2 linked regions of the Saccharomyces cerevisiae S288C genome follow. The protein of the gene in region 1 interacts with the protein of each later gene in a biochemical or structural test. Each region holds a gene or a part of one and is shown on either strand. Other genes may lie near its edges.

Region 1 (6,157 bases):
GGTTAGCGATGCTTTTCTTGTAGGATAACATCGTGAGATTGGCTTTGTCGACCAGCTCAGGAATACATTTAAGATAGTCATCCTTTGCTTTAGCCTGCTTCTTCAAGTGCTCCAGTGATTTGGTTGCTTGTAGCAGTTGCATTTTCAAGTTATTCACTTTGATTTCGGAATTTTTTCTCACGTTATTCAGTTCTCGCCTCACTTTGGCCAGCTCTTTTGAGCTTTCTGCATCAAACACCTTGCTGTCTAAACTTAGTTCTAGTCCTTCGTAGTATTTTTCATGGAACGTGTGAATCTCATCTAACTTGGTGTTCACCGTGTTCTGGACGTTTTTGTAGTCCTGTAACTTGGCGCAGATTTCCTTCTTGAGATTAACAAGCAAAGTGTATTCATCGTAGTTGCGTTCTTCTTTGCTAGAGGGAAGTCGAACAAGTTCGATTCTCTTTTCAGCAGAGCTCTTGTGCGTTTCCTTTAACGCGTTGTTCTCATCCAGGATACTTTTCATTTTTCCATGTAAACTAGCCATCTTAATTTCATAGCCTATGATCTCGCCGGACAATAACTTGGCGCTAGACACTAAAGCGGCTTCATTTTCTCGGTAATGATTCACTAAAGATTGAAGCTCCTTGACTTTGCTTTTCATCTGCCTTAAAGATGACTTCTTTTGTACTCTTGAGCTGCTGAGGCCCTTCGTCACAGCCGCATATTCCTTGTCCGAGTTGAAAGATGAGCTCGACTCCTGATCACTACCATCTATCACACTGCGAGTGATGGCATCCAAGACACCACGATTTTTTGGCATAAGCACTCAGTCTTGGCCTTTTTCCCTCCTTTCTCCACTGATCGAAGCTGTGTGCAAAAATCGTCCCCGGTGTTTATTTATTTGTCCTATGGATAGATATGTTACTCACGCGTCGCGTCGCTCCTAAAGACATGAAAAGCGCTTTTACATCTTTGCTAATACTAGCATCGCAGAAGATCTTCTCCATTGCTATGCAACATACCTGCCTTGGTAGTTGGTTTCATAATTTACAATATACAAAGTTATATGCCCTCCGAGTCAAGGAAAAGATTGTCTTCCAAAAAAGGTGCAACTGTGCGTTTAGAATTGGTGGAGAATTATGTGATATGCTTCTTCACCGTCCTCTGCTTCTGCCTAATACCACACTCATCAATTGACTGGAGATCTGGCCTATCTTGCTACTACTTCATAGATTTTTTTTTTTTTCATCTATCCCCTTCCATCCCCTTCTGGTTCTACCCCTTCAGCGTGAAAAATCACCATACACGATCAATCCGCCCGAGAACGAAAAGTGAAAAGAACAAACAAGTCGTGTCAGATCCATTCCTCTATTCCTGTAGTCGGGTTGCATTCTGAATTTACACGTCACGAACCAGCACTATTTCGCTACTGTAGGTGTAGAACATTAGGACAAGGCAAGCTTCTGCGATAGACACTTTACTCACACATATTTCCCTTTGTTCCCGTTTGCTCTCCCTAATTGAACAATAAAGATGGTCAAACTTGCTGAGTTTTCTCGAACAGCCACGTTTGCGTGGTCACATGATAAAATTCCATTATTGGTCTCTGGTACCGTATCTGGTACGGTGGATGCTAATTTCTCCACTGATTCATCTCTAGAATTGTGGTCATTGTTGGCTGCTGATTCGGAGAAGCCTATTGCTTCCTTGCAAGTGGATTCCAAATTCAATGATTTGGATTGGTCTCATAATAACAAGATTATTGCTGGTGCTCTGGATAACGGTAGTTTGGAATTGTACTCCACCAATGAAGCAAACAACGCTATCAACTCCATGGCCAGATTTAGCAACCATTCTTCCTCTGTGAAGACGGTAAAGTTTAACGCAAAGCAAGACAACGTTCTTGCTTCGGGTGGTAACAACGGTGAAATTTTTATTTGGGACATGAATAAATGCACTGAATCGCCCTCCAATTATACTCCATTGACACCGGGTCAATCGATGTCGTCCGTTGACGAGGTCATTTCCCTAGCATGGAACCAATCTTTGGCCCATGTTTTTGCATCTGCCGGGTCGTCTAATTTCGCATCTATTTGGGATTTGAAGGCTAAGAAGGAAGTCATTCATCTAAGTTACACTTCACCTAATTCAGGTATCAAGCAACAGCTGTCCGTTGTTGAATGGCACCCAAAAAACTCCACAAGAGTGGCAACGGCTACTGGTAGCGATAATGATCCATCTATCCTGATCTGGGATTTAAGAAACGCCAACACACCATTGCAGACTTTAAATCAAGGCCATCAAAAGGGTATTTTGTCATTAGATTGGTGTCATCAGGACGAACATCTATTATTGTCCAGTGGTAGAGATAATACCGTTCTTCTATGGAACCCTGAGTCAGCCGAACAACTGTCCCAATTCCCAGCTCGTGGAAACTGGTGTTTTAAGACCAAATTTGCACCAGAGGCTCCAGACCTATTTGCTTGTGCCTCCTTTGATAACAAAATTGAGGTACAGACTTTGCAAAATCTCACAAACACTTTGGATGAGCAAGAAACCGAAACTAAGCAGCAAGAATCTGAAACAGATTTTTGGAATAATGTTTCCCGAGAGGAATCAAAAGAGAAGCCAACTGTTTTCCATTTACAAGCCCCAACTTGGTATGGGGAACCATCTCCCGCAGCTCATTGGGCTTTCGGTGGTAAATTGGTTCAAATTACTCCAGATGGTAAAGGTGTATCTATAACAAACCCAAAAATTTCAGGCTTAGAATCAAACACTACTTTGAGTGAAGCGTTGAAAACTAAGGATTTCAAACCATTAATAAATCAAAGACTGGTCAAAGTTATTGATGACGTTAATGAAGAAGATTGGAATTTATTGGAAAAGTTATCAATGGACGGTACTGAGGAGTTCTTGAAAGAGGCTCTTGCATTCGACAACGATGAATCAGATGCACAAGACGATGCCAACAATGAGAAAGAAGACGATGGGGAAGAATTCTTTCAACAAATTGAAACCAATTTCCAACCCGAGGGCGATTTCTCCTTGTCTGGTAATATCGAACAAACTATTTCCAAGAACTTGGTTTCTGGCAACATTAAGAGCGCTGTGAAAAATTCTCTAGAGAATGACTTACTAATGGAGGCCATGGTGATCGCATTAGATTCAAATAACGAAAGATTAAAGGAAAGTGTCAAGAATGCCTATTTTGCGAAGTATGGATCTAAATCATCGCTCTCGAGGATACTATACTCCATTTCTAAGAGGGAAGTAGATGATTTGGTTGAAAATTTGGATGTCTCTCAGTGGAAGTTTATCTCTAAAGCAATTCAAAACTTATATCCAAATGATATCGCCCAGAGGAATGAAATGTTGATTAAATTGGGAGACAGGTTAAAGGAAAATGGTCATAGACAAGATTCTTTGACTTTGTACTTGGCTGCCGGATCATTAGATAAGGTGGCTTCAATTTGGTTATCAGAATTTCCAGATTTGGAGGATAAATTGAAGAAAGATAATAAGACAATTTATGAAGCTCATTCCGAATGTCTAACTGAGTTCATTGAAAGATTCACCGTATTTTCCAACTTCATTAATGGAAGCTCTACCATTAATAATGAGCAATTAATTGCCAAATTTTTGGAATTTATCAACTTAACTACTTCCACAGGAAATTTCGAACTAGCCACTGAATTCTTAAATAGTTTACCAAGTGACAATGAAGAGGTTAAAACAGAAAAGGCACGTGTCTTGATTGCTTCCGGCAAATCATTACCGGCACAAAATCCTGCGACAGCGACGACCAGCAAAGCCAAGTATACAAACGCCAAGACAAATAAGAACGTTCCTGTACTACCAACTCCTGGAATGCCTTCTACTACTTCTATTCCTAGTATGCAGGCACCATTTTATGGTATGACACCAGGCGCCTCTGCAAATGCTCTACCTCCAAAGCCGTACGTTCCAGCAACCACCACTAGTGCTCCTGTTCATACAGAAGGTAAATATGCGCCACCAAGCCAACCTTCGATGGCGTCACCTTTTGTTAACAAAACAAATAGCTCGACCAGATTGAATTCTTTTGCTCCTCCGCCTAACCCATATGCCACTGCAACAGTTCCTGCAACGAACGTATCTACAACGTCGATTCCGCAAAACACTTTTGCTCCTATACAACCTGGTATGCCTATTATGGGCGACTATAATGCTCAATCTAGCTCTATTCCTTCACAACCTCCAATTAATGCTGTATCGGGTCAAACGCCACATCTCAACCGTAAAGCCAATGATGGTTGGAATGATTTGCCTTTGAAGGTCAAAGAAAAACCATCTCGTGCCAAGGCTGTATCTGTTGCCCCTCCAAATATCCTATCGACACCAACTCCATTAAATGGTATCCCTGCAAATGCTGCTAGTACCATGCCTCCGCCACCTCTTTCCAGAGCTCCCTCTTCTGTGTCAATGGTATCACCACCTCCTCTACACAAAAATTCTAGAGTCCCATCCTTGGTTGCAACTTCTGAGTCACCAAGGGCATCCATATCAAATCCATACGCTCCTCCTCAATCATCACAACAATTCCCAATAGGTACTATTTCTACAGCAAACCAAACGTCAAACACCGCTCAGGTAGCTTCATCGAACCCCTATGCTCCACCACCACAACAAAGAGTAGCAACCCCATTATCTGGAGGCGTGCCTCCAGCTCCGTTGCCAAAGGCCTCTAATCCATATGCTCCAACTGCAACCACTCAACCCAACGGTTCCTCCTATCCTCCAACCGGTCCGTATACTAATAACCATACCATGACCTCTCCTCCTCCCGTTTTTAACAAACCTCCCACTGGCCCCCCTCCGATTAGCATGAAGAAGAGAAGCAACAAGTTAGCTAGTATAGAACAAAACCCATCTCAAGGTGCTACTTATCCTCCAACCCTTTCCAGCTCGGCCTCTCCATTGCAGCCTTCTCAACCGCCAACTTTGGCTTCTCAGGTTAATACCTCCGCTGAGAATGTCAGTCATGAAATTCCAGCTGATCAACAACCCATTGTCGACTTCTTGAAAGAAGAACTGGCTCGCGTAACACCATTGACCCCAAAGGAGTACTCCAAACAATTAAAGGATTGTGATAAACGATTAAAGATTCTTTTCTACCATTTGGAAAAGCAGGATTTATTAACCCAACCAACAATCGATTGTTTACATGACCTCGTCGCATTAATGAAGGAAAAGAAATACAAAGAAGCTATGGTCATCCATGCTAATATCGCTACAAACCATGCTCAAGAGGGTGGTAACTGGCTGACAGGAGTGAAGAGGTTGATTGGCATAGCTGAAGCGACTTTGAATTAATTCAGTCTCAAAACTTTCAGTACAAAAAGTGGCGTATTGGCCTTGTTTTTTTCTTATTATGTCTTATAGTATTATATTTATATATTTATGTACTTATCCTTTTATGTTTAAACCTAATCAAGATCACAATTAGAACTAGCTTAACATTACTTCTCAAAACCAACCAATACCTCTTATATCTTTTTTACAGCCTTTCCCTTATGTTTTTACCATGTACACCTCGAGCGGCAAATCTCCGGGGAAATTTTAAACTTGCCGCATCGCACATTCTAAAGAACAAAAGGAGGAGGAACTGTCAATTATTCTATAATCTGGGGAAATTCAGTCATACTGAGAAAAACTAGACAATAGTCCTATCCTCGGCAAATTGCATTGATAGTACTTACACATCGAGAGATCATAGGACAGATAAGAAGCATTTTATTGAAGAAAAACAGAGAGAGTCACTATAAGTTGACCTCACTATAGAAATTAAAACAGAAAAGTTTTACTGAGGACCTTTTTAAACAGAAGGATATGCCTTTGTTGGCATAGAAAGAAGAATTTATAAATGGATCCTAATAGTAACAGTTCTAGCGAAACATTACGCCAAGAGAAACAGGGTTTCCTAGACAAAGCTCTTCAGAGGGTGAAGGGCATAGCACTGCGACGAAACAATAGTAACAAAGATCATACAACAGATGATACGACAGGTAGCATACGAACCCCTACGAGCTTGCAGCGGCAAAATTCTGACAGGCAATCTAATATGACATCCGTGTTTACGGATGACATTTCTACCATAGACGACAACTCAATTTTATTTTCAGAGCCTCCTCAG
Region 2 (3,386 bases), on another chromosome or scaffold:
GATTTAAGCACAATTGCAAGCGGTGATAACGATGGGAAAGAATGCGATACGGCGGAGGAGAGTGAAGACGAAAACGAAGATACAGAAGACGAGCACGAAATTGAAGATATCCCGACCACGTCTGCTTTTGGCTTAAATTCTTCCGCTGAATACCTTGCATTCAGATTACGAGAATTTAATAAATTATGACCATGATAAATTCACCACATGTATCTATATATGTTCATGCATATACCATATATATTTTGTTATTCATACGATAGACCTCAATCGTTTTGTTGCCTTTCAAAACGCACAATTGTAAACCTAGCTTACTATTTATCTATCGCGGTCCAGAATGGCTTTCCTTTTTAAATTCATCCCAGAAGCCACGTCGGAGTAAAGTATTCGGCCTTGATGACTATTTCGAATCGAAATGAAAGAATAAAAGGAACTAGGAGGTTGTTCCAACAATTTTCCATGCCGTAATTTCATCGGTTATTAGGTTACCAGCATTTATCTCAGTTTATTTGAGTCAAGGTAATTTATTTTCATTCATTACTGTATGGAGTAAAAATGAATTCCATTTATGTATTCGCACGAAGAGAAATTTATCATCCGTCAGAGACACCAAATTACGGCCGAATTTAGATTTGTTTGCACGTAAATATGAGCCAATGAAAGCGTTATTATTCAATGTTTCCAAATTGTTTTCCACCGTTTTATTTTTCCCCAAGAATTCGCTTTTATGAATGTTTTTAATATATGCAATCATTTTATCAAATCCACCGATGATAAAGTTCCAGTGTTCACTCAACATTTTCATAGAATCGTCATGGCTTCTGGAATCGACTGTTAAAATAAAACAATATCTTCTTTCATTGCCTCTAGCATTTTCATCATACAGTTTAAAGCCTATAACTAAGTTCAATCCTCTAAGATCATCAAAAAATATAAAAGGCATATTATCATAAATCATTGTTTCTTCAGAAAAGGCTCTTTTAATAATAGAATTTAGCAATTGGTATCTTATAGAAGAATATTGGGTAGTTATAAACGGAACATCTTCGATGAAGCACCGCATCGATCTAGTTGACTCTTCAGGAAACTGTAAAAGACATGATTCGCAATATGATTCAGTTGGATAATCAGGCACTAGTAATTCTTCACCTAGCGTTCCCTTTTCTGCGGATTGTGTAACTGATATGATCCTTGGGCCATGCTTGTCGCAGAAATGAGCCAATGAAATCACTGTCGAGGACATTCTATGCATCTATTTCATCAACCATTTAAACGCTAACTTATTTTATGGAGGTGCTAGTTAGTTGGACTTTATTGCTTCATTTATCGTTTGATGGTCATCGAATAGAAGATTCCTAAGCCCTTTTCTTTTTACTCAAGATTTTCTTTTTCAAGCGTGTTTTTTCTGGCAAGTACGAAAACGGCATCTTCGAACTTGGCGAATGAACAATCGGTTTGGTTCAACATTTCCAAGAACAACTACAACATACTATCAGTGTTACTTTCAAAAGTCTTTTAATACATTTGAAATGATATTCAGTGGAAGTGGAATGAAATAGGCCACAGTGAATAGGCCACGATACACACAGCATGTGTCATGCTCAATACCTTGCACCTGAATCTATATAATCTTGTAGTTCACCATTATATACATAACTCAGAAGAAGAAAACAATACGCATATTGGATAGTGCTCCATCGCTTTTAACAACTGATAATTTCAGTCATCTGGCTCAGGGTCTTGTCGATTTTTTTTATTTAGAAACTATCCGAATAAAAAAACCGCAGGAATACAAAGCGATGGGAATTGCTATTTCACTGAACATGTATGTATACCGTATACCGCATAAAATAACTATAAACCTACACCATTAAACGATGTGTGCAAAGAAGCTCAAATACGCTGCTGGCGATGACTTTGTACGCTATGCTACACCTAAAGAGGCCATGGAGGAAACTAGACGTGAATTCGAGAAAGAGAAACAACGACAGCAACAAATAAAGGTTACTCAAGCACAAACTCCCAACACTAGAGTCCACTCAGCTCCAATTCCCTTACAAACTCAATATAACAAAAACAGAGCAGAAAACGGTCACCACTCCTATGGTTCTCCCCAAAGTTATTCTCCAAGACATACGAAAACACCTGTGGATCCTAGATATAATGTTATCGCACAGAAACCAGCAGGCAGGCCTATACCTCCAGCGCCAACCCATTATAACAACTTGAACACTTCCGCTCAACGGATAGCTTCCTCTCCTCCTCCCCTAATTCACAATCAAGCAGTGCCTGCACAACTCTTGAAGAAAGTTGCACCTGCTTCGTTCGATAGCAGAGAAGATGTACGAGACATGCAAGTGGCCACACAGCTATTTCATAACCATGATGTAAAGGGCAAAAACCGACTGACAGCTGAGGAACTACAGAACTTACTACAAAACGACGACAACTCCCATTTTTGTATATCATCAGTAGATGCGCTGATAAATTTATTTGGTGCTTCCAGGTTTGGCACTGTCAACCAGGCAGAATTCATCGCCCTATACAAAAGAGTGAAAAGTTGGAGAAAAGTTTATGTGGACAATGATATCAACGGATCGCTCACCATTTCTGTAAGCGAATTTCATAACTCACTTCAAGAACTAGGATATCTAATACCTTTTGAAGTTAGCGAGAAAACATTTGACCAATATGCTGAGTTTATAAACAGAAATGGAACAGGAAAAGAACTAAAGTTTGATAAATTCGTTGAGGCGTTAGTTTGGCTAATGAGATTAACAAAATTATTCAGGAAATTCGATACTAATCAAGAAGGCATTGCAACCATACAGTACAAAGATTTTATCGATGCTACATTATATTTAGGTCGTTTCCTACCTCATTGATGAAAACCATTCGTTCTTTCTGGTCGTAATACAAATAGAAGAGGTAAACCAATCAATGGCCCGTTAGTTTGCCATTTGCTGCATCCTTCCCATGCAAAGTGTCTTCGTATTTAGTGATGTTTTGTTAGCGACACAAAAGAGACCTCGATGACAGACATTTTTTTTTCTTTACTTAATGTATTATAAGTGTGTCTGACCTCGACTATCATTATAATATTAATTTGAAGTTCTATTTTACATTTATATGAGTTATTCCATTACATAATAAGGATATCAAGAGCAGATTAGTGTCTTTTAGATTATACATCTTTTTCCCCCCTTTTTTGTTGTTGGTAGTGGAAAGAAAAGGATCAATTAACAGAAATAAATAAATAAATAATAAAAACCTAAAATTCCTTTTGCGTCATTGAATTTTTATTATGAAGTCAAAAGGGAGTCGGTTGTCAACAGACTGTCCTGTCGAATTTCCCAAGATAGTCTCTGGATTCGCTGAGGAAGTGA

Evidence for each region.
Region 2: the proteins of SEC31 (region 1) and PEF1 form a complex in vitro, tested with the Saccharomyces cerevisiae proteins (one study listed by BioGRID).

Annotation. Positions count from the first base shown.
Region 1 is NC_001136.10:105,693-111,849, forward strand, and holds SEC31 (Sec31p), read left to right. Parts: upstream 1-1,515; coding exon 1,516-5,337; downstream 5,338-6,157. Other genes in the region: ASF2 (Asf2p), read right to left, coding at 1-802; SNF3 (glucose sensor), read left to right, coding at 5,888-6,157. UniProt on the Saccharomyces cerevisiae protein: Component of the coat protein complex II (COPII) which promotes the formation of transport vesicles from the endoplasmic reticulum (ER).
Region 2 is NC_001139.9:604,259-607,644, forward strand, and holds PEF1 (Pef1p), read left to right. Parts: upstream 1-1,877; coding exon 1,878-2,885; downstream 2,886-3,386. Other genes in the region: RSC subunit protein RSC1, read left to right, coding at 1-189; LST7 (Lst7p), read right to left, coding at 515-1,243; septin SPR3, read left to right, coding at 3,305-3,386. UniProt on the Saccharomyces cerevisiae protein: Calcium-binding protein that is required for polar bud growth and cell wall abscission. Can also bind zinc ions.